Linked DNA regions of Mus musculus: all the other regions are reported to be linked to region 2. The links are microRNA targets in miRTarBase. Many come from high-throughput screens and were not tested one by one. Region 2 holds a microRNA gene; each other region holds the end of a gene's coding sequence.
The links. Region 2 holds the annotated microRNA mmu-miR-15a-5p (UAGCAGCACAUAAUGGUUUGUG, at 2,291-2,312, opposite strand). A microRNA usually pairs through its seed, bases 2 to 8, with sites in the 3' UTR of a target mRNA and lowers its output. Matches are read on the target gene's strand: a 7mer-m8 pairs with bases 2 to 8, a 7mer-A1 pairs with bases 2 to 7 and ends in A, and an 8mer does both.

Region 1 (4,205 bases), not on the chromosome of region 2:
TCTTCTTTGTTCTTCGGACTCTGCAAGAACTATACAAAGAGCATAATTTATGGTGAAAGCAGCAACTGACTTTCAGTAATTACTTATTTTCCTTCTTTTCAGAGGTATCAGATCATCAGCACTTGCCACACCAGAGGCATAGTCCCAGACCCTTAAAATTACCTTTATAGTTCAATAATTATGGCAAAACTTCTGTGTACATTAAGACAGGCCTCCAACTTATACAGGTATGCCTCTTGATTCTAGACCTTATTCCCCAGCTAGTAGTATTATTTGGGGGAGGCAGTGGAGCTTTTAAGAGGCCTAGCAGTAGTCACTAGAGGTCACTAGGGGTGGGGGTCTCTGGAGGTTTTACTGCCCCTGGTTCCAGTCTGTGAACTGTGCTTCCCAGTCAGCACCATGTGATTAAAGCCTCTGCCTGCAATCACAAATGGAGCCAATACTGTTACCATGCCTTTTCTGCTGGACTGAAATAGCTCTGTAACAGTGAGCAAAAAAGCAACCGAACAATTCGCCTGCCCCTCTGCCCCCCAACCCAACTATCCTCCCTTAAATTGTTTCCACCAGGTGTTCTGTCACAGAGATAAGAAAAATATACTCTTATAAGCCCAGTACTGGGGAATGGATAAGCTCTCAGCATTATCTATCGACAACAACTGCCACAGAGTCAGTTTATAAAGCCAATTCTCTGTGCCTCTCTGGGTAACCCTACCAGACATATAAGTTGTGTTTTCTGATGTGCAAACGTGTTTTTTCCTTCTGACTTTCTATGTTGTCAGAACCATGCCGACGAGTAACTAACAGAAGTTCAAGGCCCTCTCTATATCCATTATTCCTTCCACGCCCAACAAAGAGTGTCTCCCCACCTCGAGTTGATCTCTATGGATAGTCACTTACTATCTTAAGAAATGATCTCTTATTTCTCAGCAGCTTCAGTGGATTTGCATACCATCCTGCAATGCAGCCAGCTTATGGCATCTCACTGGACTTGCTGATTTGGTCTACATGGGTGAATAACGCTGGAATTCACTCACTTAGTACCTAGCTGGGTCTCCTATGGCTGATCACTGCAGATTACCATGACGATCCCAAATCCTGTCCCACAAATTAGGATTCAAGTTCTTCTTTGCCCTAGTCTTAAAAAAAAAAAAAATCTAACCCAGGATGCTTCCAGAAACTTGTGTGTTTTTTTTGAAAAGTCCTCAAACCCCCACACTTGGCAATGGTCCAATCTGTCAAATTCTGAATGCTGTGTTAGCTCCAGAGCATTCACAACAGTGTGGGAAACATTACCAAAATCTGTGAGGTCCAGTACAATAGCTGTTAGCTCCTGTGGAGCTATTGAGCACTTGAAATTTAGTCTGTATTACTGGCAAAAAAAGGTTTCTAATATTAATTAGTTCCAAGAGTTAAGTTTAAGTAGCTTTAAGTGGCTAGTTTACCAGAATGACAGTAAAAATCTAAATGGTTCAAGTTTGAGAGTTTTGGACTGCTTCTAGATGAAAGACTGTCAACAAAATGAGAGGCTCAGTAAATACTTGGCAACCACCTGCCTTCCATAACTTCTTTCATGCTTTCTGGGTTATCTCAAAAGAAAAATTAAAAAAAAAAAAAAAAAAAAAGAAACAGTTCAAAACCCATAGTACTTAACAATCTGACTTGAATATAACTAGTGATTTTAATATAGGGAGTGGCATAGACAAAGCAATTAGCAAAAATAATTAGAAAATAATCATTCTAGAAGTTATTTATGTTTAATGCTTAAAAGTCTGAATGCACAAACAATCTACCATCATAGAAGTACTGGTGGCCAACACAATGCGTTAGAACTATGTACAATGCACAGTTTAGTATCAAAATCTTTCTACACTGTAGAGTTTTATGAAACTGTTAATGACATCAAACACTAAGCACTTAAGACACCATTTTTTTTGCTACCACACAAAGAACGTCAATGACAGTCCATTTCAGCTTGCAGCATCCATCCATTTCTAGTATGAAATTAAGTGATTTTTCTACTTATACAATAAAGTTTATCTACACAGTTCTTGATTTTGATCCATAGCAGCAAAGGCACTGTACATCAGCAGATCCACAGACTTAAAAGATCTTTTTAAAGCATTCAAACAAAAAATAATAATAAAAAAGGAGTCACATGTTATAGTTTTAACAGCAACAACAACAACAACATAAAAGATAACACAATGTTTCTGGCACAATGGCACAGCCTGTGTCCATTTCAGGGACATCCAACTAAGACATGGAAAGAACCAGAGGTAAATAAAGCAAGCCACCATCCCGGGAGAGGCTCTTCTTTGTGGCTTTCAGAGGGTGGGCTCTGCAAACCCTCCTCTGCTGGCCTTTGTGTGGGAAAGACTTGCTTTGCACAGCGGTAGGCAAGCAGTCCTCCTGTACCTACAGCTCCTAAAGAGCATGACACAAAACAGCCTGCCATGTCTCACAGCATCACAACTGCCCAGAGACACACAGCTTCCTCTGCCAGGAAATTTGGCAAAAATATTTAGAAGAAATTAAGTTCTCTCTTTGAGGCCCAATTTAATTTTTGATCTGTCTATAATACAATAAAAAAAGGAATTAAAAAATATTACAAAGATACTTGTCAACAAGTAAAAAATAAAAAAGAAAAACATCTAATTATTTTTGTTGAATGTAATCTAAAGTTATAGACATATTGGTTAAAGTTGCCCAAATAGACTCAAAGGAATAGTACTTGGCCTGTTATATTCTACTTGTTCAAACAGCCAAATTTCCAAATGTTTTTAATATAAGTAGAAAATAAAACAAAACAACCTCATAACAACACAGCAACATATTGCTTCCGTGTGTAATTATACATTTCACATCTCTATACAGTCAATAGTCTACATTTAGTGACATTTAAATCAGTTATTTTAAACCTTCCTTTCCCCTCCCTCACCAAAAGGGAGGGGTGGAGCATCAAATACAATGCACCTTCATTATCAATGCAGGAGCGGACAGCTTTATTTAGTCAGTCATTGTTAGAAAGCCTTCTTTAAACAAAATAAATATATTACAGATATAATACATAATTAAAGATTCCATTCACTGTTAGGTATTCCATGTTCTTCCAAGACGATAGCTGAAGATTTGGTATCACAGGTTCTTAATGAGTATTCACAATTCAATAGCAAGGAGGAAGTGGGGCTATGGGAAGGGATTAAACTCCACAACTGCAATGAGTATTGGAAATCCTTGGTTTTAGAATGGGAGAGGGGTGAACAGAAAAGTACAACAGCGCAAAGTGCTATGAGGAGGAGTCCAGTTTGCACGAAGATTTGTCCTTAATAAATAACTTCATAAACCGTAGCTTTCTTGTCCCCAGAGCCAGTGACAATGTACTTGTCATCCACAGAGATGTCACAGCTAAGCACCGATGAGGATTCTTTGGACTAGGGAAGAAACATATCAAGAATGTCACATAGAGGAACTGAGCAGCAGGACTGGTGGGTGTGGCTGAGCAGATGTACAACCAAAGTGCTCCCCAGAGCACCAAGTACATCTGCAGATAGAGGGCAGCACCAACATTCCTAGACATGGCAGGAGGACATCATCCTTAGCTTAGGCTAAGGATTCCTGTCCTGAGGCATCAAAGAGAGGTAACTCAATGGTCAGCGGGCTCTGCAATGAGGCAAATCCTAGTTCTTTAAACTCTATTCCTGGGGCTGGAGAGAGAACTCACTGGATAAGAGCACTGAATGCTCTTCTAGAGAACATGGGTTCAAACCCAAGAGCCCACATGGCAGTTTATAACTGTTTGTTTGTTTGTTTTTAAACTCCAGTTTGGGGGAGGGGTTTCCTTCTGCTTTCCTCAAGTACCAGGTATACAACCTGGTCAACAGACAAGCATACAGACAATAAAATAAAAGAACAAACAAACAAACAACCCCCCTTTCTTCACTAGAGAGTACAGAGCAAGTAGGACATTCAAGATCCAAGACCTCAGCTGCCACAGACAGGGAGCCTGGCTCTCGGCGGTACCACAGAGCGGCAAGCACTGCACAGGCCTAACAACTAAAGGCAGACATGAGCCACAATGTCCACTGCTACTAGCACAGAACACGAGAACAGGAAAGAGGAGTTCAATAGTTGGAAACAGAAACACACTCCACTGAAGAGAGGTGAAGGGTGATGAAGGGATGAGGGAAGACCACACACAGACAAGG
Region 2 (4,205 bases):
GTCTGAAGACAGCTACAGAGCTGGAGTGAGTGGGCCAATTGGAGCAAGCAGAGGTCCTGAATTCAAAATTCCCAGCAACCACATGATGGCTCACAACCATCAATATAGCTACAGTGTACTCATACACAGAAAAAATGCTCCAAAAACGGAGTCTATAGTTAATTAAATCAACTTGTTAAAACTTACTTAATTTTACCTTTAAATTAGAATTGAGTAGTGGTTCTTTTGAGGACAATTCCTTAAAAAATAACTGAAATACTTTTAGGATCTCCACAACACACGGTAGAATTAATTATGAACCTTTAATCTGAAAAGGTAAGAGACTCCTTGTAAAAAGTAATGACAGAGTTAGAGGACATTATTGTGAGATAATGTGTTTTCTTGAACATTTTAAAATAATGACGTAAAACATTTAAAATAAAGCACATGGGATAGTTAAAAGAACATTTCCGGGCTGGTGAGATGGCTCAGTGGGTAAGAGCACCCGACTGCTCTTCCGAAGGTCCGGAGTTCAATTCCCAGCAACCACATGGTGGCTCACAACCATCCGTAACGAGATCTGACTCCCTCTTCTAGAATGTCTGAAGACAGCTACAGTGTACTTACATATAATCAATAAATAAATCTTTAAAAAAAAAAAAAAAAAAAAAGAACATTTCCTTTGAAATAATTAAAATATTCTGAATATATTTATAAAATTAATGACTGTTAGCTTTAATCTGAAGTTAAATATTAAGGCACAGATGAGATGTCTTTCATACTTTTGACTTATAAAAATCTCCTGTTAAACATTTTAGTGAAAAATAAGAAAAACAGTAATTATTAAGTTAGAAGATATAGGATTTATACCCTAATATGTCATAGGTTGCAAATTAAATTTCAGATTGTTTCCTCAGTTAACCAATAAAAAGGTCAGCTATTCTAAGGATTCTTCTAAATTTAAGTTTAAAAATTCAACGTACACATTTTAGTGTTATTCTCCTTCATTTAAAATGAAATATTTAGGCACATTATACTCAAGATTATGTTATAATCTGTAGCATTTCAAACTTTATCTGTATCTAAAGAAAACTTCAAATCAAGAGAAAAGTATTTTTCTATTATAAGTAATAATATGAGTTTAAATTCATGTACAATTTGGTACTTCCTAAACTCTTTCAAATAAACTTTTATATGGAAATGCTGGAAAGAGAGCTCGAGCCTTGGTGGTACTGGGTATATTCTGTACCACTGTAGCTCTCAAGAAACTCTGGAAAGGTGTTCAAGACTTAAAAATACTTGTTATATTATTAGTCAGTGCTCCATCTGTGGATCCAACCAACCACACATTCAAAACATTTGGGTGGCCAGGCATTGGGGCCTACAGTTTTAAACAAAGAATTTGGGAGGCGGAGGCAAGAGGATCTCAGTGAGTTTCATGGCAGCCTGGTCTACATGGTGAGACCCAGGCTCAAAAGACCAAACCAAAAAACTTATTTCTTGGACAAAAACTGCATTAGTACTGAATTGTACAGTTTTTTTCTCATCATTAAGAGAATAACTTGAATAATACAACTATCCATGTTAACATCCCACTGCACTACACATTAAAAACAATGTAGAGATAAGTTTAAATAAGTATAAGGGAGGATATGCACTGGTCACGAGCAGACATTTTATACAGGAGATCCAAGCATTTACAAATCTGGGTATCTAGAAGTCCTATAATCAGTTCCTCACACAGAAGTCATTATGTTTTGTTTGTTTTTAAAAGACAGATCCTTACATAGGTCTTAGACTTGCTTTATGGCCAAGGATGATGTTAAGCCTCTAATTCTCTTTTTTCCACTTCCTCAGATCTAGGATTACAAGTGTACCTGGTATGCAGTGGTAAGGCTAAAACCCATGGCCTTGTGCATGCTAGCAAGAAGCACTTGGCCAACTGAGCTGCATTACCATCCCACAATTATATAGTATTTTAACAGACACAATATGTAGAGCGTTGTTACTAACATCATTACAGAATCATACCAAACATAAAATCACTAATGCAATTAGAAAAACCGTGTAAACACACAAGTAACATCAATACACATTGAATTACAGTTGTAGAGTATTGCCAACCTTACTTCAGCAGCACAGTCAATACTGGAGGTAATTTCAGAATCTTAACGCCAATATTTACGTGCTGCTAAGGCACCGCTGACATTGCTATCATAGGAGCTATGAATAAAAAGACAGGTACTCTCTTCAGAAGATCAGGTCCTTGTATTTTGAGGCAGCACAGTATGGCCTGCACCTTTTCAACATCCACAAACCATTATGTGCTGCTACTTTACTCCAAGGGTTGGTTTTGAAAACTCCTAGCACCTCAATAGTAATTTACAGAAAAGGCTTTTTAGGAAAAAGTAGAACACATAAAATCTATGTTTGAAAAAAATCTAACACTGGTATGTGCATAATTTTATAGGCTTTCAGCAGAATAAAAAGTATTTCCATATCATAAGTTTAATAAAAGCGTACAGAAAACTTAATACAGTGCTGTAATTTATTGTAGTCATGAAACGAGAAAAGCAAGTCATTTTCCCATACCAACTTAAGAACCTCATTTATTAAACTAACAACTTTTGAATGTGCTTAACACATGAAATAGCTACAAAAGTTGGTTTTTACCTTATTAAGAGCAGCACATCTTTCAAAGCCAAATCCATAGGACAAAGCTTCATGTTAAAGGAAACATGTAAGAACAAACATGTAAGAGCTCAGTTTCAAGAAATTTATACTAGCAAAATATTTAGAAGACATACACATGAAACATATTCCCCAAAAATATATAACCCCCAATCTACACATGAACACAAGATTTATCTCAATATTGGAATAGTTATTGTGAGTTCAGTGTCATTTATTATTACCCAGAACATCATCTTAGGATAACAGGTCTATTTGGTTTCCTAAAAGGATATATCAGAAATCCTGTAGCTCAAGCCTAAGTAACCATTTGTGTGTTTCCCAGTTAAAAAGGCTAGTCCTTTAAAGGAGTATCATTTTATACCACAGGACTTTGACTTAGCTGAAACAAAATTTTTACTACGTTAAGTTCCAACTTCATTTTATGTGTGTGTGAATATCTAGGTTTTCTTACACTATTAAGAAGACTCTTTTCTGTTTAGTGGGGGACTTAGCCATCCCTTCACAAAGAACTGTTCTTATTATTCCAGTTCATACCAGATTTTCCATTCAAACTAGATTACTGTGTAGCAAATGTTTTCTAGTGGGTCAATGCCATTTCTCCATTCCCGTTCATGTTGGGTCATTTGAAATATCAAAACGTCTTTAAATCTTCAAACCTTTGCTTTCAAGTGTGCCAGCTTAAAAAAAAAAAGTCTGAAAATAAAGATAAAAGCTGCTAAAAGTGATTTTGTCCTTTATCTTTATACAATGATTATAATTTCAAATTCAGTGGTTTTTTGAGAGAGGTTTTGAGGACAGTGGCTGCTGTCCTGCAATTCATTCTATAGACCAGGCTGGACTGGAACTCAGAGATCTATCTGCCTGGTTTCCCTCCTGCATGCTAGGATTAAAGGCGTGCACCATCATGCCCCGTTCCAAATTCAGTGGTTTATATTCTGGCCTAAGGACCAAAATAATTTTTCTTTGTTGGGTTTTTACATAGTTCAACTTTTTACTAATGTTCTTAAAAGGAAAAAAAAGCCATTCTGAAAAGAAAACAAAATGTTTTGCTTAAGAAGGTAACTTGAGTGTACATAGGAATACATGGCAATCTTTAAATACCTGAAATTAATATTATTCGTATAAGAAAACAGAATTTTACAACAATTTAAGAAGATAGATCAAACCAAATTGTCCTATTTCCCCCTTCAACTCTATTTGTTTCCATTAATATTTTTCTTTAGAAACATTTACTTTTTACCTTATAAAACTTCTAATATTAATTCATCTTGTTTCCATAAAGCTTAGCACTTCACAAACATTTATAGGCATGTTGCCCAAGCTATATCATCATCTTGACTGCATCAGAATAATGGGATACTTTTTGAATTTAATAATAAGCAACCAGTAATTTGTTGGAGCACAATGACAGAATACAGAATCTGAGGTCCGAACCCTGACACTGTCCTTTGAGTGTCTCCCATGGCTGTTATTCTAGTACACTGACCCTTTCTGGTTCCCTATCTGCAAATGAACCATTAACATACATATAA
Region 3 (4,205 bases), not on the chromosome of region 2:
TGAAATATTTGCTGCTATGTGCTATGCACAAGGTCATGCTGACCCTGTGGCAGGCACCAGGTCTGCTTAAGAGTGGCAGGAGAGCAACAAGGCCATGCCATGGAGGAGACTGACGTCCCAGAACCAGCTTATTTGGACAGTGTGTAGACAGACATGCATAGAATCACGAAAATCAAAATATTTATTTTGTTTTCTTGCACACAACACTTAAACATTCCCATTACAGCAACCCTGCTCTCCGGGAGCTTACAGTCTCTGAGACAGTCAACGTGAATGTGGCCCCAGTAATTAAGGCATTACATCAAATGCAGACCTGTTGTTTGGATGCATCTTTTGAAGAGGCTGGAAAGGGCAGGCACAAGATTAAATGGCATGATGGACACTGTGCCTCACTCTCCTGATTCTAATGAGGAAGCGAAGGCCACGGCCTGGAAGGGAGTGTGGGAGGGACAGCCCTGCGCACAGGAGCAGTGAGGAGACTGATGGATGCCGAGGAGGTTCCTGATGAGGGCAGTGGCTGCTGAGTACTCTTCCATCTTGGACTGCAGTTAGTACTTAAGATCTGTAATTCTGCTAACCCTTTACCCAGCTTTATAGAAATTCCAGTGGAGCAACTGCTTCTTGAAGCAAATTTAAGACCTCTACTTGCTTTGTAAATACAAAGTTCTAATTATTAGGTAAAATAACCTCAGCAATAGCCATGCTACTGCATCAGGATGGTGAGAGAGATGTTAAACACTAAGCTACCTGGGAAAAAAGTCAGAGAGGGAAAAGTAGGGCAGGGGCTAAAGACACTCAGCTATAGCTTTCCCACAGATGAAAGGAGACATTTAGATAAAATAAACACAAAGGCTGGGCATTGAAGTTCATGAGGATGGGACTTAGGCTTACCTCTGTTCTGCACTAACCGCAGTCTCTAGCAACCTAGCGCAGGGATCTTAAGTTTAGGATTTGCAGCAGACTATTTCTACTCGGAAGCTACCCTGAAGAACCATGCCAAACTGAGGTTTCTCTTGGTTTCAGATTCATAGCACCTTGTTCCTACGGGCCTTGGTTCTTTTCACCTCAACGATAAGGTCCCGATTCTGACAGTTTATGCATTACTTTTAGGGGCCTGACATAAGCTAGGTAAGTGACTCACACCAGAGCTGCATCTCAGCCCCTGAAAGGTGTTTTATAGCAGCTCATTTGGAGATTCTAGAGAGCACCAGGGTTACCACTAAGTGTGGTTTCTGGATTCCCCTGGGTTTATTATTCCATGGCTTCTGATATGACAAACAGGCTATTTGCACCTTAATGTTGGGCTGTCAGTACCTGTCATTCACTGCAGGATGAACTCAGAGAAAAGCAAAGCTCTAAAGTTGATTTCTAAGAATTTTAGACTCCATCCAGTAGGCTTAAAACCTTTTCTTGGTTCAAAGCCACCAAAGTACACATTCCTTGTTCTCTAATATGTAATTGGCACACACAGAGGAGAAAGTACACACTTCAAAACTGAAACACTGGGCCAACAAGACAGCAGGTTTGTTTCTTCTGCTCTGAGGCACAACTGGATCTAGCACCAAAGAGGGCAGGATTGAACAGACCAGCATAGGAAGAATCGCTTTAAAGAGGTAGTGTGGGAACAAGCCTGCATGTAGATTAATGATTGACAGGACGTCCAATGAGATCCTTCATTGAGAAAGGGGTCTTGGCCACTGTAATCTATGTAAATCCCCGTAAATGATAAAGGTGGTCAAGTAGTGGATGGGGACCTACATAGTGCACACTGAGAACAACTGGCTATTGGCAGACACATGCCCCATGTCTCTCCAAACAAGAAAGCTGGGTTTTTGCCTTTCTGGGCTTTTGACTGGCTGACTCACACAGCAGAGCAAAGGTCTCTTGGCCTTCAAATAACTTCCAAGGAACCTTAGATCTTTAAAAGTTAGGACTAGAGACTTCGTATATGTTGACAAGTATACTTTGGCTGTAATCCCACACACTGTATGTGGGTATACATAAAACATATTTGGAAGTGAATAAATGTTTGTGGAATGATAAAGTATCGACCAGCAGCATTTAGATGTGACATGTGCCCAAGGCATACCACCTACTAACCAGCAATTCACATGTTCATGCCTGATAGCAGGTAGCCCCACCCTCTGTCCCTTCTAGGTGCAACTTTTCTAGTTTAATGCAGAGACTCTTAAGGTAATCCTCTGGACTGACTGTGAGTAGAACATCACCTAGGAACTTAGAAATGCCAAATTTGGTGGTTCTGGGGTTGAGGTCCACCAAGTAGTGTCTTAACAAGCCCTCTGGGTGATTCTGAAGCTGTAAAGTTTGAAAATCATTGGTTTCAAGGAACACACACACAATACAAACTCTTATTCAGTTGGGACAAACCAAGGTACTGAGTCAAAGTAAAATACTAATGGTTTTATTTAACAATCTCTATTTCTGTTGTCTTAAATTGATTGTCCTGTTTTTGTTTTGATTGGCAAGTTCATTCTGATCAAATGTTCAATAGGAACACAAGTTGATGACTGAGCAGGAATACAGACTCATAGACGCTAGGCCTGTGTTTAGTCCCTACCCACTCTGTACACACTACACAGGTTTCAGTGTAACCTGGAGAGAGGAACATGTGTTTCCCATTCACTGAGTTAAGACTGGAGCTCATTTCTAGTGTGAAATTTAAGTCCCGGTTGGATGAGATGTCCCTAAGTGCCATCAATCCTGTTACAATCCTTTTTTATCACTGACCCAGAATCCCACCTATCAAATACACATATCTGTTTAAAACAAAATGTATCCCACTCCCCCCGCAAATAAAACAAAACAAAACAAATCAAAACCTGGAGAAGTAAAAAGAAGCAGATAACCAAGTCTTTAACTAGGAAGCTACCTGGATTAGATAAGGCTCAGGATGATGAGGGAGAAGACATCTCACAGGTGACTTCCCAAGAGAAAAAAATCTCATCTTATTAGAAAAACCACTATTCAGAGACTGTCAGCTAGGCTTCTATTCAGTAGGTGTGTATGTATAGACAGGAGAGAGAAGGGATGATTGGAAAGGGAATCATATCTTCCAGTCCCAAGATGCTTCCTACAGCAATTAATAAGGCCATATGTGGAGTCTGATATCAATGGCAGTGCTCTGTGATGTCCACCACCACTGCCTTCTTCCAGCTGAAGAGAAAGTATCCCGTCCCAGCCCCTGCTGCTACTGCAATGCATAGGTACCCATTGTAGGTCATGAAGATGAGCATGAGGAAGTAGCTGATGACTACCTGGATGATGTGCAGCACTGTCTGCAGGAGGTGGGGGAAGCTCAGCATCTGCTGCCTGGGGATAAGCAGAGAAGGAGAGTCAGACCTGGGCACCTGCAGCTCAGGAGAACAGCCTAACTGGACTGCAGCACGGCTATCCTGGAAACTGACGCCCGCACGCACACATCTGTAAAGAACTTTTGATTTTTCCTTGAGACAGGGTCTCATGAGCCCAAGCTGGTCTCAAATTCACTGTGTAGCCAAGGATAGCCTTGAATTCTGGTCCTCCAGCCTTCTCCAAGTGCTGGGACTACCGGCATCCATCATATCTGATTAGATTTAACTCGACAGGAAGGAATCAATCGCATTCTGCCATTCTTTTATATCTTAACTATATCTTAAAATGCCCATTACTACATAGCAAATATTTTAAAAACCAGATACTGTTAAACTTCTTTCAGAGTGACACTTACAACATAGAACAAACGTGTATGTGCTTTTGCAGGATCCCAAATACCATAGCCCACAACCTGGAACTTCTAAAGTTAGAATCACCAACTCCGGAAGAAGAAGGCCTGCCTTACTACATTACTAAGAGATCTCTAGAATTTCCCTTTGGATCTGTTGCATCTTCTTACCCAACAGTTTTGTGTGTCTCCATTAGGATGGTTCCATTTGGTCCTGGGACAGGCATGGAATTGTAGCGAATGCTGACTTGAGACTTTCGAAGCAGACCCTCTCGGGCTATCTTGAGTCCTTCATAAAACATTGCTAGTAAAAACACTGCCACGAAGGCTCCAGCCATTTCTGAGGAAAAAAGGACAGGACGGGAAAGGGGAGGGGAGGAAGAGAGAAAAGAAGGAAGAGGTGACGGTACAGTCAAAACTTAGTGAGCATACTGCTGGTCGGTCACATTGGCACTGGCCTATGATTCCAGTGCTCAGGAGGCTG
Region 4 (4,205 bases), not on the chromosome of region 2:
CAGCCCATAATCCTGGACCACCAGGACTGCACACTCCCAACCTCGGGCCCACCCCAGGCACTCAGCTACACCATCCAAACCCTTCCCCTGCATCCCGGCAGCCCCTGGGCCAACCAAACACAGGACCCATCAGCGAACTGGCTTTCAATCCTGCCTCAGGCATGATGGGGCCTCCCAGCATGACTGGGGCAGGGGAGGCCTCAGAACCAGCTTTGGACGTAAGTAGCCAGTCCTGTGTGGGGTGGGAGCCATCGGTCCCTGGGTCTACACACCTTGTTTCATAGAAGGGATAACAGTGAACCTTCAGGAGGGAATGTCACCCAGGGGCAGCTGTTCCACACAGGTTATACCTGGAATAGCTATAGGGTACCAGGTACCTGTGTGTGGTTAATGAGTGACCTGCCCTTAGAAGCTTTGGAGCCTGGGTTGTGAAGCTCACAGCGCTGTCCTCAGAGCCCAATGTGACCTGGGCATTTATTCAGTTCTGCATCTTGATAACGCAGGCAGTTTGTGAGCAAGAGCATGAGTGTGTGTTCACTGTCCTTGGACCCTAAGAGAAACTCAGTGAAGTTCCAGCATGAGGAAGATGAGGAGGAGCAGGCCAGAGCAGAAAGCCCCAGGGGCATGGAATCCTACCATGGGCCCTGGAGATCCTTTTTTAGGCCTGTGCATCTCCAGTGCCACCTCCAACTGTTCTCACTGGCTCCTGGGGACCAAGTCTCTAGCTGTTGTCCTGTAGTAGCCTTGCATGGGGCGATACAGAGGCCGCTGAGTACAGCCAGATGGCTTCTCTCAGGCACCCAGCATTTGGCAGGGAAGGGCACTTTAGCATTCCCACTGGGCCTGAGGCCAGAACAGCTTGGCCACTGGAAGTGAAGGGTCTGCGCTGCGCCCACAGCTGCTAATGTGTTTGCTTTGCCCTCAGCTGCTCCCAGAACTGACCAATCCTGATGAACTGCTCTCCTACCTGGGCCCACCTGACCTCCCCACAAACAGCAGTGATGATCTGCTCTCACTCTTCGAGAACAACTGATCCTGTGGTGACCCCTGGCCTGGCGAAGACACACTCAAAGATGCCACCACAGCCTTCCCTTCTCACCCAGCCCCACAGGCTGCCTGCTGGTTCTCCCTGAACTCCCAATGCACACACCCTGAGCTGGGGCCTGCCACTGCCAGCCCTGATGAACTGGAAGCAGCCCTGCGCTCCATGGGGCCCCAGGCCAGTGGGCCTCACAGCCTCCCTCCATCAAGCTCACTGCTCCAGAATGGTTCTTGTGAGGTGCCTGCAGGCCCCGTCAGCCCCACGTGCACAGCCCTCTGCCCCAGACTCATGGCCTTGCACTTGTCCTTCCACCCTGCCTGCTCCTACCCAGCCTGCATCTTGTCCAGCACTGATCCTTCTGTTTCTGTTCCTCCTCAGCAGAGCTGGCTGCTGAGGCTGGCTCTGTACCCTTGGTCTGCAGCTCCAGTGCCTGAGCCTGGCAGCCTCAGAACCATACAGAGCACCAGCCTTAGGGGGCCTGGCGCTCCCACCCAGCTGAATCTGGTTTAGGGGTTCCTCCCTCCACCCTGAGCTCCAGGTGGAGGCTGGGGTGGGAGCAATAAAGCACAACAATGTACATAGTGTAGAAATGCCAACAGCTGGGAAAGGGAGGGACCGCTATTTCAGTCAGCATGTTCCTCTGGACTGGCCTGCGCCTTCCATGTGGTGTCTGCCCCTTACTGAGCACAGACAGCTCAGGGGAGGTTCAACTCCTCTAGGGGTGGGCTTTCAGGCTCAGCTCTATGTAAATTCTCCAGTGAGCTGCTCCCCCAAGTTTCTCTTTTCTGTGAAAGTGAAGAATTAGTACAGCTGTGTTTTTTAAACCACCTCATTTCCACCCTGCGGCCCACACCCAGGTGGGGGAGGCCATTGCATCTGCTGGCAAAGCGCCTGGGCCTGCAAGCAGGGTGCTGGCCTGTTGTGTCTCCTGTCTGTGCAATCTATTAAAGGACTCCCTCTTGGTGGGCTTGGCTGAGTCCTTCCTTTGTGCTGAGGGTCTGTGGCCTTTCTGTTCTTAGAACCCCAAATAATAAAAAATCTAGATGTTTTCATCCAAGCTCAGGATATCCCTGAGCTGTAGTAAATTTCCTTTCCCCTGGAATTTTCCAAGTTGGCTTCAGCTGCAGAGCTATTTTGTAAAGCGTCTCAGGCTTGCCCTGGAGACATTTGCCACCATGTCACCTTCCCTGGGTGTGCCCTAGGGCAGGGAGCCAGCTATCTGACAAGTGACTGCAGCATGACCAGGGGCCTCAACAGCAGTAGGGATTGAGCCTGTGTTCACTGCCCCTTCTTGGCCTGCGCCCTGCCTAGACAGCATTTCCTGTGCAACAGGAAAGGTGAGAACCAGGGAGGGGTGAGGGGAATCCTCAGCTGGCTGCCAGAGCCTTCCCTGCAGTACTGGAGGAGGCTGCCGGGCAAGAGCAAGGAACCGCCTGCAGAGGCTCAGTAGCTGTCTGACATTTGAGAACACACCGGTGGGCTCCCTAGGGAGGCCGTTTCCAGCTTTTCTGTCCTCTTGGCTGAGAGTGGGGGAGCGGATAGAAGTGGAGAAGACAGCAGTGGGCCAGGGCCAAGGGAATGTAAGGACGCCACAGCAGTGTACAGCCTCTGTGAAGGAAGGGGAGGAAGAGCTAGACGAGGGGAGGAGAGGGAGCAGGGTTGGAAGAGGCAGGATGCCGGCATAGACTCTGTAATAGGTACCTGCGGTCTGGAGAAACCTAGAGACCAGCAGCACCATAGCCATCTGTCCTGACCACAGCCATCCAGAAAAGCCAACCTCAGGAGCTGGACAAGTGATCGAGGAGTGGCTGCCAGAGTCCCTGTGCTCGGTTGTGAATGGGTGACAGAAAAGGTGGCAGAAACTCAGTACTGGCTTTTATGAAGCTCTAGGCTAGTGAGCTGCACAGGACCTGTACATGCATTCCTTTCAACAAAGCAGGCGCATGGACCCAGTGAGGGCTGCTGGCTTTAGGGCTCTCCACCGCATTGCACTGGCTCTGTCACTATAATTTATGTATGTGCCAAGTATTACATAACTTTAATAAAGTTGACTAGACCTGACATACAGAATACATGCAACATACCCCAGGATATATAGCATGCCTCAGGCAGTTAGACTGGAACCTGCTGCCTCTCTGCAGTGGAGTCCAGCACACAAGCAGGAAAGAAACAAATTTGGAAATCACATCTGGTTTTGAGACGAGACAGGCTCCCTCATGAAGCCCAGGCTAGCCTCATCATCCTGCTTTGCCTGAGTGCTAGAATTACATGTGTATCACACCGTCTTTTAACAACTGATAGGTTAAAAGAAAAAAAATGTTCAGACAAATGAAAACAGCATACTCAACCTTGGAGCAGATCAAGGAGGGAGTGGGTAACCTTGTGAGACAGAATCTCACTAAATCTGGCTGTCCTGGAACTCAATGTGTAGAATAGGCTAGCCTTGAACTCACAGAGATCAACATACTGCCTCCTGGATGCGTGAATTCAAGGCATGCACCCTCAAACCAGCCAACAGTCTACATTTAAAAGGTGGAATTGTTGGTTGGTTGGTTGGTTTTCCGAGACAGGGTTTCTCTCTGTATCCCTGGCTGTCCTGGAACTCACTCTGTAGACCAGGCTGGCCTCAAACTCAGAAATCCAACTGCCTCTGCCTCCCAAGTGCTGGGATTGAAGGCACGAACCACCACTACCCAGCAAAAGGTAGAATTCTTAGGGCTGGAGATTGATTCCCAAAATAGGGGAGATCACAACCATTTGTAATACCAGTTGCAGGGGATCCATCCAATGCCCTCTTTTGGCCTCCTTGGGTACCAGGTACACATGTGGTGTATGGACATAGAAACAAAACATACACAAAGTGGAGGTAGAGACCAGCATGGTCTGTATACAGGACCACCAGGGCTAGCTACACAGAAAGACCCTGTCTCAGTAAGTGGAGCTCGAAAGTCTGTACTTAGCAATATATTTAAAGGGACTAGACATAGCCAAGAGGAAGGGAGGGAAGATTAGGGCAGAGAAAGTGGGGGGAGGGCTGGGTAAGGGAGCTGAAGAGATGGCTAAGGAGTTCAGCATTCCTACAGCTCTTGCAAAGGTCCCTCAGTTCCCAGCATCCACATTGAGTGACTCACTTGGTTTTGTTGGTTTTGTTTTTTTCTGAGAC
Region 5 (4,159 bases), not on the chromosome of region 2:
GCAGGGGGGAGAGACAGAGAATCGGGGAGCTAGGCTCACCATCACTCTAGAAATCTGCCTAGTATTCTGCCCTTCCTACAACACCCTCTGCCCACCCAAGCCCCACTTCTATTAATTTCTAGTTATATGTATATGATGTGTCTTTGTGATTGGATGTGCAGGGTCAGACCCCTAAAGCTGGACTGTCACCTGATAAGGGTGCTGAGAACTGAACTATGGTCATCTGCAAGAGCAGTATTCACTCATAATTACTAAGTCATCTCTCCAGCCCTAGGTCTCCATCCTAACAGCCCAGCTCACATATCAGCTACTAATCACAGTAGAACTCAGAAACAGGAACTATCACATGCCTGCTCATACCTAAGGGAGTGAAGGAGCCCCATGACAGGGAGCTAAGAGGTTGCTACTAGAAAGCAGAATCCAAGGCAGCCACTGCCTCCCATGGTGTCTTTCTTGTAAAGCTCTTTATGTCTACCAGCGATCTCAAAGCTTCCAGAGCCTATTTAACAGAAAAATACACCAAAAAGCTTAGCAGAAAAGGAATCTTTAAAAAACTGTTTGTGGGGCTAGAGAGATAATTCAGTCAGCAAAATGCTTGCACTGTAGTCATGAGGACCTGAGTTCAGATCCCCGGCACCCACATAAGAAGCTGGGCATAGCAGCAGGCACCTAAAATCCCAGCACCGGGGAGGCAGAAACAGGCCGAGCCCTGGAGCTCCCGGGCCGGCTGGCCTACCTCAATCAGTGAGCTCAGCTTCAGTGAGAGACCCTACCTGTCTAGGCCGAGAAGGACTGAGGAAGACCTCCATATAGGAATACACGTAAAACTCTCAAGCTATGTGGGCCTGGGAGATGTGTCCCAACGAGACCTGCCAGGTCACACAGCCCAGGAGGAACAATCTCATTCCTTACAGCTTGTCAAGTTCTAGGCTCTGATGTAGGAGCAGGCCCTCAAGGAGCCAGCACTGCTCTTCCGCTGGGAAGTTCATGGCACACATCTCAGCCACCAAGGCTGCCCTGTTGCATCCTGGGCTGCGTTGGGGTTTCCATTTTACATCACTGGAACAGAATAGGAACTGACCCTCCCACTCCTGGGTACCCTACCTTCCTGCCCACTTTCCTGTCACTGGGCAACCTCTGAAGGCACCTGTACACAGATAATTCCAGTGCCTCCTCCTCACAGAGGTCAAAGAAACTGAAAGCCTAACAGGAAGCTTCCTTAGATCACTAGGCAGCAATCCCTGCCTCAGAGCTGGAGGACTCTTCAGGGCTCTTCCAGCCCCATTCTGTACCCAGGGCCTGTCACTGTTGGAGTGCAGCAAGAGGTCTACGTGATCTGGTAACTATTTCAGAGGAGCTAGAAAGGACCTATGACATCGTATGCTGCCATGTTAGCAATGCAGCCGGAAGGACGGAAGGAGGAAGAAAGGCAGAGGGAGCCTCATGCAGATCACGTGGCTCTCCAAGTCCTTTCTTAGAAAAGTTGGCCCTATGCCCCCGCCACCACTCTGGTATAACCCAAGGCAGGTGACTTAACTCCTGTGGTAAGATCTTGGCTGTGTCCTCAAGTGGGACTTCTATGCACCACAGTGCATGGTGCAGGAACCCTACAGCCCTGGGACTCAGTGGATCAAAACCCAAGTCCTATTTCCATGTGTAACCTGGTCACTGCTCCATTTAAACAGGCCTGCCTCCTGTTTAAACCTGGGGCAAGGAAGGCTAGGGTGGCTGTGGAGAGGGCACTAGGAAACACATGCCATAATCCTGGTGATCCTTAGCACCTCTGGGCTTCTATCACAGGCAACCTATCTCTATCACCTTGCCAGGAAGAAAGGGCAGAGAGCTGACTCAAGGAAACTGCCAGGAACCTGGTCTCCCAAATCCTCCTAGGCTTCTGAATAACCGTTCTCCAACAGTGCTTAAAGAAATGCTGTGGCGAGCACAGCCAAGCCCACAGCAGGCCACTTGGTCCCAGAGACAGACAGACAGACACACACCCATACACACACATTCTCATTCACATATTCTCTCCTCCCTCTCTCTCTCTCTCTCTCTCTCTCTCTCTCTCTCTCTCTCTCCCTCTCCCTCTCCCTCTCCCACTCCCTCTCCCTCTCCCTCTCCCTCTCCCTCTCCCTCTCCCTCTCCCTCTCCCTCTCCCTCTCCCTCTCCCTCTCCCTCTCCCTCTCCCTCTCTTGGTTTAGAAAAATGGATAGACTACAACCATGCTCACCAGGTGACAGGAACACTTACCTCCCAACCTGGACTGAGGCACTGGTGCCCCCTGGTGGAACTGAGTAGCTAAGCATGTAGCCTAGAACAAAGCAAGCATTGTAGGCTCCAAGAAACAGCCAAGGAAAACCACAGAAAAGAAAGTAGAAAGAGCCAAACCCTAGGAAGACGTGGAGTGGGAGGGTGGGGGGAATCAAGAGGTGGCCACCGATGGAAGGTGCTCTACAGACTAAGGCTGCAGAAGTCACCACCCCACAGGTGGTGGCCTACCTGCTCTCAAACTCATCATGGACACCACAGACCACGGAACTCATCAACATTTATTGTGGCAATTGCACAAACAAATGGGCAGTCATTATCCAGTTCAGCAGCAGTCTCACAGATGCCATTAGTGATTCCACGCTATAAATAATTTAGGAGAAGCAAGCAGATGTGGTAATGCACCCGTGGCCGGTGGGCAGAGTGGCACCAGAAGATGGGGTTCCTCCTTGACCCCCAGCACCTTGGCCCACCAGAGGCTGGGTACCCAGGCAAGGGATGTTTCAAGGCACATACAATTTCCTAACCCGTAGCAGCTCCAGGGTCCGCCCTGAGACCTGATTTACATCTGGACCAGCCACACAGATGCATCACCTGCTGCAACCCCTGTAGACTAGTGTAGTCACTTTCATTACTAAGCAGGCTCCAGCCCACCCAGAGCCGGGGCTGCACTCACAGTCCCTACCCTTTACATTCTGAGAATGAGAGTGTAGAGAAACCAACCCCAATGTAGTGATGATGTCTGGGAAGCACCATGGGGGTGTTCTGTCTGGTGTCTGTTCTGCGGGGACACTGGGAAAAGGAAGGAGATAAACAAGAGAAAGGGGGCTGCTAGCAAATAAGATTCAAGGCACTAAAGGAGTGGAGGGGTGGGTGAACCTCAGAAAGAGCCAGCCAGAAGTGGAGGGCCCTAGGAGTGAAAAGTGGCTGGGAGGTAACCCTGGTCCTCCACTCCAGCCCGGGGCTCCAGGGTGACCTCTAGGACGTCCAACCATACAATTTGAGGCCTGGGTTTCCCTTGGCATCCCCAGCTCTCTCACCATACCACTGCTGCTATGGTCTCTGCCAGCACGTAGGACACGCTTGCCTGACATTGGCACGGCAGCTAAAATATGGCTTTCAGGAATCAAAGTCCACTTTTCGTAACTGTTCCTTCCTACGACCCGACCGTGGTAAATAAGGTAGAGCATCCTTTAGTGGACAGACAGAACTCTGTCATCACTTGGCATGTGATTCCACATCAAACATACCAAGCTCCAAGGGACAGCCTGGATGAGCAGGGTCCGAGACCCAGGGTCACCCTGCATCAAGATTATTCTACATTGGTTCAGCTGTCAGGGATCAAGCGCAGGTAGCTATGCAAAGACATGAACACACCCGTTCATGCAGACACCAGAGAGCCCTGGGCTCCCAGCAGGCCACTCAGGATGTGCTGAGCAGTCCCTGGCAGAAGGAGCTCCCAGAAGGACTCATGCTGCACTCTTCAGGGCCTTTCAGGAGGCCTATGTGCTTCCAACTCGAGGCTCGGGGCTTCTGTGTGTCCCAGCGTTTCAGGGCGCATCACCACCACGTCCAGTGTTAACCTCAAATCTCAGCAAATGGAGGCCAAAGGCTGTGGTGCAGGTAGAAGGAAGAAGGTGGACACAGACCAGGACTAATACCTAGGCCAGGCAGGCCCTGGAGGGTGGAAGCCATAGGAAGGGGTTGTCCCAGGAGGGTATGGAGGTTGAGGGGGCACAGGAGGCTGGGGCTGTCCTGGGAAGCCCGGGAGCTGAGGTTGTGTTGGGTAGGGAGGTTTGTTTCCTGACGGGAGGTAGGGGGACTGCTGAGGATAACCAGGACCAGGGGTTCGGCCCCCCACTAAGGGGTACCCTGGACCAGAGGTACTAGT
Region 6 (4,047 bases), not on the chromosome of region 2:
AACCCCCCGCCTCCATAAAGTCTCCAAACAAAAAACACCCTCCCCCAAATCAAACCAAACCAAACCTCAAAAATCCCTGGTTGCCAATTGAGCTTTGAAGGAATATTTTACTTTATTTTTAAAATGTATTTCCTGGTTAGACAATAAGAAGTTGGTAGGGGAAATAGCTCACAGATCAATTAACAGAGAAGAATGGGTAGCCTTTGAATTAAAGGGGATGGGTCTTAGCTAGTGAGCTGGAGGCTTCTTAATGACTTCCAGGTCTTCTATATGGCATCACATATGGCTCAAACAGGTTTTGCCCAGTCCTATCCAGGAACAATGAAGTTCCCCATGTCTGCAGGGACTGGTCAGGTGGATTTGTCTCTGAAACAGAGTATTGGATAGCAAAAAGAAAAAAAAAAAAAAGAGCAGTTCTCAGGTTTGCAAGGGTCTTTCTCTGGCAGCAGCTTTCTATGGTCCTTCTATGAACACACTATCGGTTTCCATCCTCAATATAGCATTGTAATGTCGTAATCAGAGGCACTGACTGGCCTGACTGTGAAAACCGCATGCTTTAGCTTAGGGGACCCGTGCATTGATAAAGCCAGCAGGGGAGTATGTCTTTTCCGATTATGTAGTGTGGGACTGGCACATAGTTGGCCAACAGACATGCAGCTGAGCTAAATCTCAGTTGATCTGACTTTCATAGGCTCCTCCCTGTGGTCACACTGTACACCCCCAGATCTCCAAACACCCACACAACTAAACGCTGTGACGTCACCATCACTTCAGATGTCTGTTGGATGACATGGCTCTAAACAGGAATTGGTTTGATGTCATGGTCCTAGGACACACTTGAATTATTTTGGCATGGGACTGTTATTTTAAAACCAAAGTGACTGAAGCAATCGCAGCATCCTTTGGGGTTCTCCCCTTTTTCAGGACTCAGCCCATGCCCCTTCTCCAAGCACAGTGGTGGCAGAAAAGCCAGTGATCTCATTCACATCATCTGCATGGGGAAGCAGGGGCACCGACTGGAAAGGCAAGGAAACAACAAAGGTTGTCATGGAAACAACCTAGTGACCTGCTTTACCTGTCTAGACAATAGCTGCCAACATAACCTAGTGGACCTGGATATTCCTCTGCATGTGGCCCGGTGTCACATGGATGCCAACCAAGGCCACAACAACTGTACCATTGAGCTTCTGGTTAGACATGGAGTCAGCTATGGTATCTATTCATGTTCATGATAGTTTTCTATGTCTAGAGTATTTTGTCCTCTCTGAATAATCTCTTTAGTGACTCAAGACCCAGAAACAGACAAAAGGGCTTTTTTTTTAAATGATAAAAACTTTATTTACTATTTATAAATACATTGCAAGACAAACTTTTCAAAAATACATTTTTCCCCAAAAAACTTAATTAAAAAAATAAAGAAAAGCTGATAGGCAGGCAGAATGTCTTGAGATTCCTTTGTGCTCTCAAGGAAAGCTCTGTACAGCGCATGTCCACCCCGTAGGATGCAGTACAGTCTCCTCTCACCCTGCGTTGCCAGACCTCCTCCGCCTCGGCCTGGGGGAGAGCAGCCCAGCCTCCAGACACAGGCTCCTTTCCTTGGGCGTGTCTGCAGTTATATCACCTAACATCTCTAACACTTCATCTAGGATTATCTAGTACAGATTCTATTATATCTGGGCTACGTTGTATACAATGTTAACAATTAAGAACGTACTTTGTCTGCATATATGCGTGAATTATAAAGAGAGTTTGAGAAGGACCCCAAGATCAACATACAGGTGATTTTCTCCATGCTCTTACCAGGCTCTCAGACAAGCCACTCCTCTTTCCTGTTTAGATAGGAAGATGAAAAGAAATCTGTGTTTTTGAAAAACTGCCTTCCCGCAGCCCCACCTCACAACAAACTTTATTTTGAGAGGCTGGACCAGAAAACATTGTTTTTTGAAGTCATCTGAAGAACTAAGCGCACCATTATTTGCGACATCTCTGAACGTGGAGTCCGATGCTGCTCCTCCCACTTGGGGCTTTCTGCTGGGCCAAGTCATCAAGAAGATGCCTGACAAAGAAAGGTCCTTATCCTTGTCCTTATGGGCTCCCAGAGTGCCCTAGAACATTCTCAGTCATTTTTAGTAAGAGAGACAACACATATCCTCTCCCACAGTTCCCAAGTAGATCAGGCCACTTGCGGATACAGGGCCAGGCCCTTATTCAGAGATGGCACAATAAGGACCATGAGCCTCAGGCATATGCTTCCAGATGTCCGGGTCACTCGGTTATGGGTTTCCCCATTCTCCATAGGGCCTGCACTTATTTACAGGGGATGGAAAGAGGATTTGTCTATATCAGCCACGGAACGTCTGAAATCAAGAAGGCAGAGGGCCAGCAGCATTGAAGCCCGTACTGGGTGGGTGAGTTAGGGGGCAGATGGCATCCGGGGCCTGGAGTACACGAGTGTCTCTCATAAGAAGCAACAGGAAAATTCAAACTGCTTTTTGTTGACTACTGGGAAGTAGGAAGATGATCAAGTTCACTATTTAAATGACCAGAGGCATTTCAGAAATCTGTCTAAACTTTGGTTTGTGTGTGTGTTTGTTTTCACTCAGTTCACCACACTCACACACACACACACATAAAATATATATATATATATATAAATCAAGGCTGTAGCCAGCTGCTGATCATGTTGTTGGCAGTCTTTTGTGCAAAATAAGGCATATTTGAGCTCCATATTATCTAAAAGGAAGATGAAAGAAAGAAAAAGAGTAAGACATACATTGAAATAATTACCTCCAATATTCAGGGGGGGCTCCCCCTTTTGTTCAGCATGAGGGGGTGGACCTCAGTCTATTCTTTCTCACCAAACACCATCAAATACTTTCATTGTTAAAAAGTGCTATCCATAATTAGAGTTATTTTTCCAACTGATGAGGGAAATATTCTAAGTAAAAATGAAATCTTTTTCTGCCTATGAAAATTGTCAAGAAAGCAAAGCATATTTACTCTTTCCCATAATTCCTTCATTTACTGAAAGAAAACAAAATGCTAAATACAATAATATTCTCCGAAATGGTGGTTTAGAATATCAGTGTTACATTAGTTTTATTAGGTTTAAATAATTCCTTTAAAGATCAAACTAACCACAAACTAAAGGAATATTCTAATTTTCAAAAAAAATTATTACAACAAAACTAGGGACATCTCTAATTCAGAAACCAAATATGCCAGGTTCTCCTGGAAGAAAACAGTGTGCTCTAACCCTCAGGACTACTGCGGATAAAGTTTTATTTAAAACCCCCCACAGTGCTTGCTTGCATATGAAATAGTGCATATTTGAAGTCATTTAGAACAGAGCTGAGAGTTTTTGAAGCTACACTGACCCTGGTGTCTGTCCTTGGGGGTGTGGTTAGGTTAAGGACTTTCTTCTCCCTGAACAATCCCCTTTACCTGCCTCTCTCTGGGCCTGGCTGCAGCTCCTGGGCCAGGGAGCCCAGGATGAGGGGTGGGTACCTGGCAGCCATAGTTGCTCCTAGCAATTCCCCTTAACCTCAACCACTTTCCAAAGGAGCTGAGTCCGGGGCCGGAACCTCTGGCTTACGTGGCACGGAGCATCTACTGGCTCTGCACGCTGAGGCAATGTACGTCGTCTTTCCCCTTGGTGTCGTAGCCTGGCAAGGGCTGCCCATACTTGTCCACACACCAGCAGAAGCCCCGCTTTCTGCCTTTGGAAGGGCGGCACTGAGGGAGAGAGAGACAAGACCGGGACTTGAATATCATGTGTACTGGCTAGTTTATGTCAACTCGACAGACAGAAGCTAGAGTCTCTAGAGAAGAAAAAACACCAGCTGAGAAAATGTTCCCAGCTGACTGACAAGCTGACAAGCCAATGATACATTCCTTGATTGATGACTGCTGTGGAGAACGCTACGCCTTGGCAGGTGGTCCTGGTGCTATCCAAAAGCAGGCTGAGCAATCCATGGGGAGCAAGCCAGTAAGCAGTACTCCTCCATGGCTGCAGTTCCTGCCTTGAGTTCCTGACCTGACTTTCTT
Region 7 (4,205 bases), not on the chromosome of region 2:
TGGTCAGAGCTCCCGGTCTCTGGAGCACTGTGGTGGAGAAGGTGGCAGAGTCATTGATTAGCTATCCCCCCATTGGCCTTCTCGGGGAAGACACGAGCCTTGAAAGGCTTTCCAGTGTGCATGGCCCTGTCCTGAGAGATGGAGAAACAGTAATTTGGGGAGTTGAGCTGGCTGGCTGAGACTCCAAATAGGCCAAGCAGTGCTCACCCAAGGTGGTGACTGGAGCCGACACTGAGAGCCTCCTGGTGGCAGTTGGGGACAGTCCACAGCAGGGCCTTGGCACCAGGGGTGGGTCAGACTGACTGTGCAGATAGCATGCTTCTCACAGTTCTGCCCTGTTGAGCAGTGACTGAGCAGGTACTCGAGAAATGACAAGTGACCACTTGGGGATTTTGCCCAAAAAAGCTATTAAGGCAAGAGATGCAGGAGTTAGGGCCTATCCCTGTCCTTAGGAGAACCTAGACACTTTCGAGTTTTGTTTGTTTGTTTGTTTTTGTATTTGTATTTTTGGTTAGTTTTGTCTTTTTGAGGAAGGTCTTAACTATGTGACCCTGGCTGATTATGGTCACAGTCTCCTGGGGACTATAGGTGTAAGCAACTCTAATTTTGAAAACTTGGCTCTGAGCCTGTATCCTCGTTCATGCAGTGCTGGTTCCCACCTTCAGAAGTTATGTTCAGAATTAGAGGCCTCAACCATTTGGTGGCCTTAGCCTGGAGTCTGGGGACAGTCAGACTTGCTCCAGACTTACTGTGTCCGTTTGGTCTAGGCCCGGTTGACCTGCCCCTGCTGTAACACCCGCAAGAAGGATGCCGTGCTTACCAAGTGCTTCCACGTTTTCTGCTTTGAATGTGTGCGGGGCCGCTATGAGGCCCGCCAGAGGAAATGTCCCAAGTGCAACGCAGCCTTTGGTGCCCACGACTTCCACCGTGTGTACATCAGCTGAACCTGAAACTCAGGGGACTTTGAACACCCGAGGGGCTGTGCCCCAGCTCCCCACTCCCCCAGGGGCAATGGCCCCAACCTCCCTTTCAGACTCCATGAGCCCAGCCCCTATGTGCCTAGATGGTTTGGGGCTACTGGTGCGTGCAGGAGAGGTGGGGTCACCCAAGCTGAGTGCCATCTTTTCCTGAATGTCAGATCTGCAGCCTCGGGGACTCCCAGGTACACAGCATCCTACTGTAACCTTGGAAGCTGACCAAAACCTGTTTCTACTGAGAAGACAGATACATCCTTACCCCTAGAAGGGAATTCCTCCACCAGGAAAGGGCTCACCACCCATCTGCACAAGCTCAGTGCTGACCAGGGACCTGGGCTTCACATTGGGTCCTGGCCCGAGGAGCCTTGCTTCACTTACTTAGCCCCAGGCCTGGGCAGGGATTTGGCCTTCCAGTGGAGTTTCCTGTACCCTGGTGTAGCTTTTGTGTTGAAGACACTCTTGGGTGTGCACCCTATTCAGGTCAGGGACACTGCCACCTCATGGTCTGATTCAGGGGCATTTTTTTTTTTAGCCAGACTCTTTCCAATCTCCTCCTTTCCTCCCAAGTCCACTTTACCCTTTCTCACGCATCCTGGTGGTCCCTTGGGTACCTGGCCCTAGCCCTGCTTTCTTTCATCCTGGTGATCTTAATTGTGGAGGTGCAACTTGCCAGGAGGGAAGAAACAATCTAGCACTTGCAGGCATTCCAGGTAGAAGAGCTTTGCCCGTGCTCCAGCTAGCCTACACTGATCCTGCCTAAGCAGGGTCCTGAACGCCGGAGACAGGGTCTGCTGGAGCTGGGAGACGGCGCTGCAGATAGATGGCTACAGGAGCTTTTGGACTCACAGCCTCTGCTCTAGAGGTGTTGTGTATGGGCTGCTAATTGTTATGAATAAAATACCCAACCCTAGGCTGCAGAGAAGCCCGTCCATTTGGTCTAACCTGAGTCTCTGCGCTACACCTCACAAGCACTTCCCTGGCATGGTTGGAAGCTGGACACATTTGAGAAACCAGCCCAGCCCACCCTACAACCACTTGGGTTAGCAGCAATATATCTACAGACATGTTTACAAAGGGCCCCACCCCGCCGCCTCCACAATGGAAAAGTTGTTGATTATGGGTTGGCATTGGCCGAATGGATAACAGCCTTTGTGGGTTGCATACTGGGATATGTAGTCCTTTACCTCTAAGGGCCAAGTTTACCTGTTGTGACCACATTTCAGTCTTATTTGTAGGCTTTTTATCCACCCGTACTCTGCGAACACAGACCATGAACAACTCAGCAGGGTGGGTTTTCATTGTAGCTTGGGCCATTAGCTGGACCCTTGGAAACAGTTTGCTCAAACATGGAGGGCTGTCTCTGGGTTCAGAGTGGTGTTGGTGGCTCTCCCGGTGGCGCTTTTACGGATTAGCTACGTGGCCTGCGCTAAGCGAAGGTGAGGTGGGTGTGGGAACAGCAGTCATAGCCATGGTTGTGGCCTCGGGCTTAGCCACAGTAGTACCTTCTCTAGGCTCTTCAGCCTTCTCCGCAGACTTGCCTTCGTGAGGACTCCGGGCCCCTTCTGCTATCTGACTGCGCCTAGTTTCTGTGACGCCGCAGTGGCTGAACCAAGTGGGACTGGAGACTGAGATGCGAGCTACGGTGACCTCCGGTGTGGAGCTGGCAGTGACTGGGACGCTCGCAGAAGCACGAGTAGCTGCAGGGGAAGCACGAGTAGCCATAGGAGATGACATTGGGCCACCATGAAAGCCACCCCGGCTAGAATGCTGGGGGTGGGGGGAGTGGGGGAAAGCAGGATATTGCATCATAGAGACTAGACAGAGCTAGAACTGAGCTAGTAGTCTTAGGAGGCCTGTGCACTGGGGCATCAGTCAGTTCTCTGTCCAACATAATCCTCCTAAGTAATGGACCCCATTCCTTTAGAGGTGAGTCCTCAAATGGATGGGTTGGGAGTACTCAGAGCTCCATGTGGGCAGTAAGGCCTAACAGTAACACAAAGCAGACCTTTTCCCTCATGTTAAGCTCAAGCTGAATGGGCTAAAAGTCCCAGGATCCTCGTGCCTGGAGTGTGCAGTCTTTGCAGAGCCATGAAAACAAGCCATTGGTCTGTCACTGGTGCAAATTTGTGTGCTTTCTTCTCTCAAGTCAGAGATCGATCGATTGATCGATTGCAGAACCCTCCCCTGGCCACCACCGAGCAGGATGTGTTCCTGTTTGAGCTGGAGCTAGGGCAACTGCCTCTGAGCGCACTGATGGGGACTTCTCTCAGAACTTACCCCAGGCCCTAGCTGCTACATTCCTCGGCTTGAATCGTGCTGTCTTCTGATCTCTTCCTTCAACTGTAACCACGCTCCCCTTTGCACTTTGCCTTTCTCTGAGGTCCATCCAGAGACAACGGAACAGTAAAGCTATACCTACAGTTCCCTCCCAAGCTCCAGGCCTGAAAACCACTGTTTAAGGAGGGCAAGAGATGGTGCCACTCTCTCTCAGCACTCCTTAGACTCTGGCCTGTGTTCTGTGACTGCACCTCCATCGGTCCCTTATTCGATAACGAAGTGGTCCTCAGCCTTCCAAAATGTTACAACCCTTTAATATAGTTCCTCGTGCTATGGTGACCCTAACCATAAAATTATTTTGTTGTTATTTCATAACTTATTTTGTTAATGTTATGTGTTTTCTTAGGGTATTAGGCAGTCCCTATTAAGTTTGTCTGGCCTGCTCTAAGCCAACCCCAACTATTTGATAATCTATCCCCACCCCACTCCTGACTTCTATATAGAGGATCCCTTATTTTTTATTTTTTTGAGACACGGTTTCTCTGTGTAGCCCTGGCTGTTCTGGAACTCACTCTGTAGTTCAGGCTACCCTCAAACTCAGATATCCACCTGCCTCTGCCTCCCAAGTGCTGGGATTAAAGGTGTGCACTGCCACTGCCTGGCGGGGATCCCTTATTCTTGAGACCCCGTCCTCTGTAGTTACTTCCAAGTGTCATCCAGCCTACTATAGGAGTCATGACCTCTGGCCTTTAAATCAGGTATTGCTCTGGTCCTCCTCTTATTGGAGTCCTTAGTGTTCCCAGGGCTGGGGACCCAGGAACATGAAAAGGCAAGTCCCCCTCTCCACTAACCCACCCATATTCCTGAAACAGAGGGAAAGAACGACAACTTACTCTGGGATTTGGGACAGGCACAATAGGTCCAAGGAAGGGCAGAAGGAATGCTTGGCAG

Region 1: miRTarBase lists Tle4 as a target of mmu-miR-15a-5p. Seed matches in the 3' UTR shown: 8mer at 2,063-2,070.
Region 3: the mRNA of Slc31a1 is a reported target of mmu-miR-15a-5p. Seed matches in the 3' UTR shown: 7mer-m8 at 2,054-2,060 and 7mer-A1 at 1,178-1,184.
Region 4: the mRNA of Zmiz2 is a reported target of mmu-miR-15a-5p. The part of its 3' UTR that is shown has no 7-base or 8-base seed match.
Region 5: miRTarBase lists Vps37c as a target of mmu-miR-15a-5p. Seed matches in the 3' UTR shown: 7mer-A1 at 2,799-2,805 and 7mer-m8 at 2,596-2,602.
Region 6: miRTarBase lists Igfbp3 as a target of mmu-miR-15a-5p. Seed matches in the 3' UTR shown: 7mer-m8 at 2,382-2,388.
Region 7: the mRNA of Rnf40 is a reported target of mmu-miR-15a-5p. Seed matches in the 3' UTR shown: 7mer-A1 at 1,853-1,859.

Annotation. Positions count from the first base shown.
Region 1 is chr19:14,446,411-14,450,615 of GRCm38, forward strand. It overlaps Tle4 (transducin-like enhancer of split 4), which reads right to left. Exons shown (of 20, transcript NM_011600.3): 20 at 1,662-3,431. The coding sequence ends at 3,324. Among named protein-coding and RNA genes, the nearest start is that of Gm8630, 13 kb to the left of the region's middle.
Region 2 is chr14:61,629,785-61,633,989 of GRCm38, forward strand. It overlaps Mir15a (microRNA 15a), which reads right to left and starts at 2,326; the gene lies at 2,243-2,326. Dleu2 (deleted in lymphocytic leukemia, 2) reads right to left here. Exons shown (of 7, transcript NR_028264.1): 4 at 2,653-2,699. Mir16-1 (microRNA 16-1) reads right to left here and starts at 2,188; the gene lies at 2,096-2,188.
Region 3 is chr4:62,387,723-62,391,927 of GRCm38, reverse strand. Slc31a1 (solute carrier family 31, member 1) reads right to left here. Exons shown (of 5, transcript NM_175090.4): 4 at 3,893-4,061; 5 at 159-3,330. The coding sequence ends at 3,129. Among named protein-coding and RNA genes, the nearest start is that of Cdc26, 19 kb to the left of the region's middle.
Region 4 is chr11:6,404,065-6,408,269 of GRCm38, forward strand. It overlaps Zmiz2 (zinc finger, MIZ-type containing 2), which reads left to right. Exons shown (of 19, transcript NM_028601.3): 18 at 1-218; 19 at 926-2,098. The coding sequence ends at 1,033. Among named protein-coding and RNA genes, the nearest start is that of Mir7651, 4.5 kb to the left of the region's middle.
Region 5 is chr19:10,712,998-10,717,156 of GRCm38, reverse strand. It overlaps Vps37c (vacuolar protein sorting 37C), which reads right to left. Exons shown (of 5, transcript NM_181403.3): 5 at 2,529-4,159. The coding sequence ends at 3,923. Among named protein-coding and RNA genes, the nearest start is that of Cd5, 24 kb to the left of the region's middle.
Region 6 is chr11:7,204,774-7,208,820 of GRCm38, forward strand. Igfbp3 (insulin-like growth factor binding protein 3) reads right to left here. Exons shown (of 5, transcript NM_008343.2): 4 at 3,596-3,735; 5 at 1,313-2,733. The coding sequence ends at 3,610. Among named protein-coding and RNA genes, the nearest start is that of Igfbp3, 7.1 kb to the right of the region's middle.
Region 7 is chr7:127,601,700-127,605,904 of GRCm38, forward strand. It overlaps Rnf40 (ring finger protein 40), which reads left to right. Exons shown (of 20, transcript NM_172281.2): 20 at 768-1,906. The coding sequence ends at 944. 1700120K04Rik (RIKEN cDNA 1700120K04 gene) reads right to left here and starts at 2,746. Exons shown (of 1, transcript NR_027915.1): 1 at 2,204-2,746.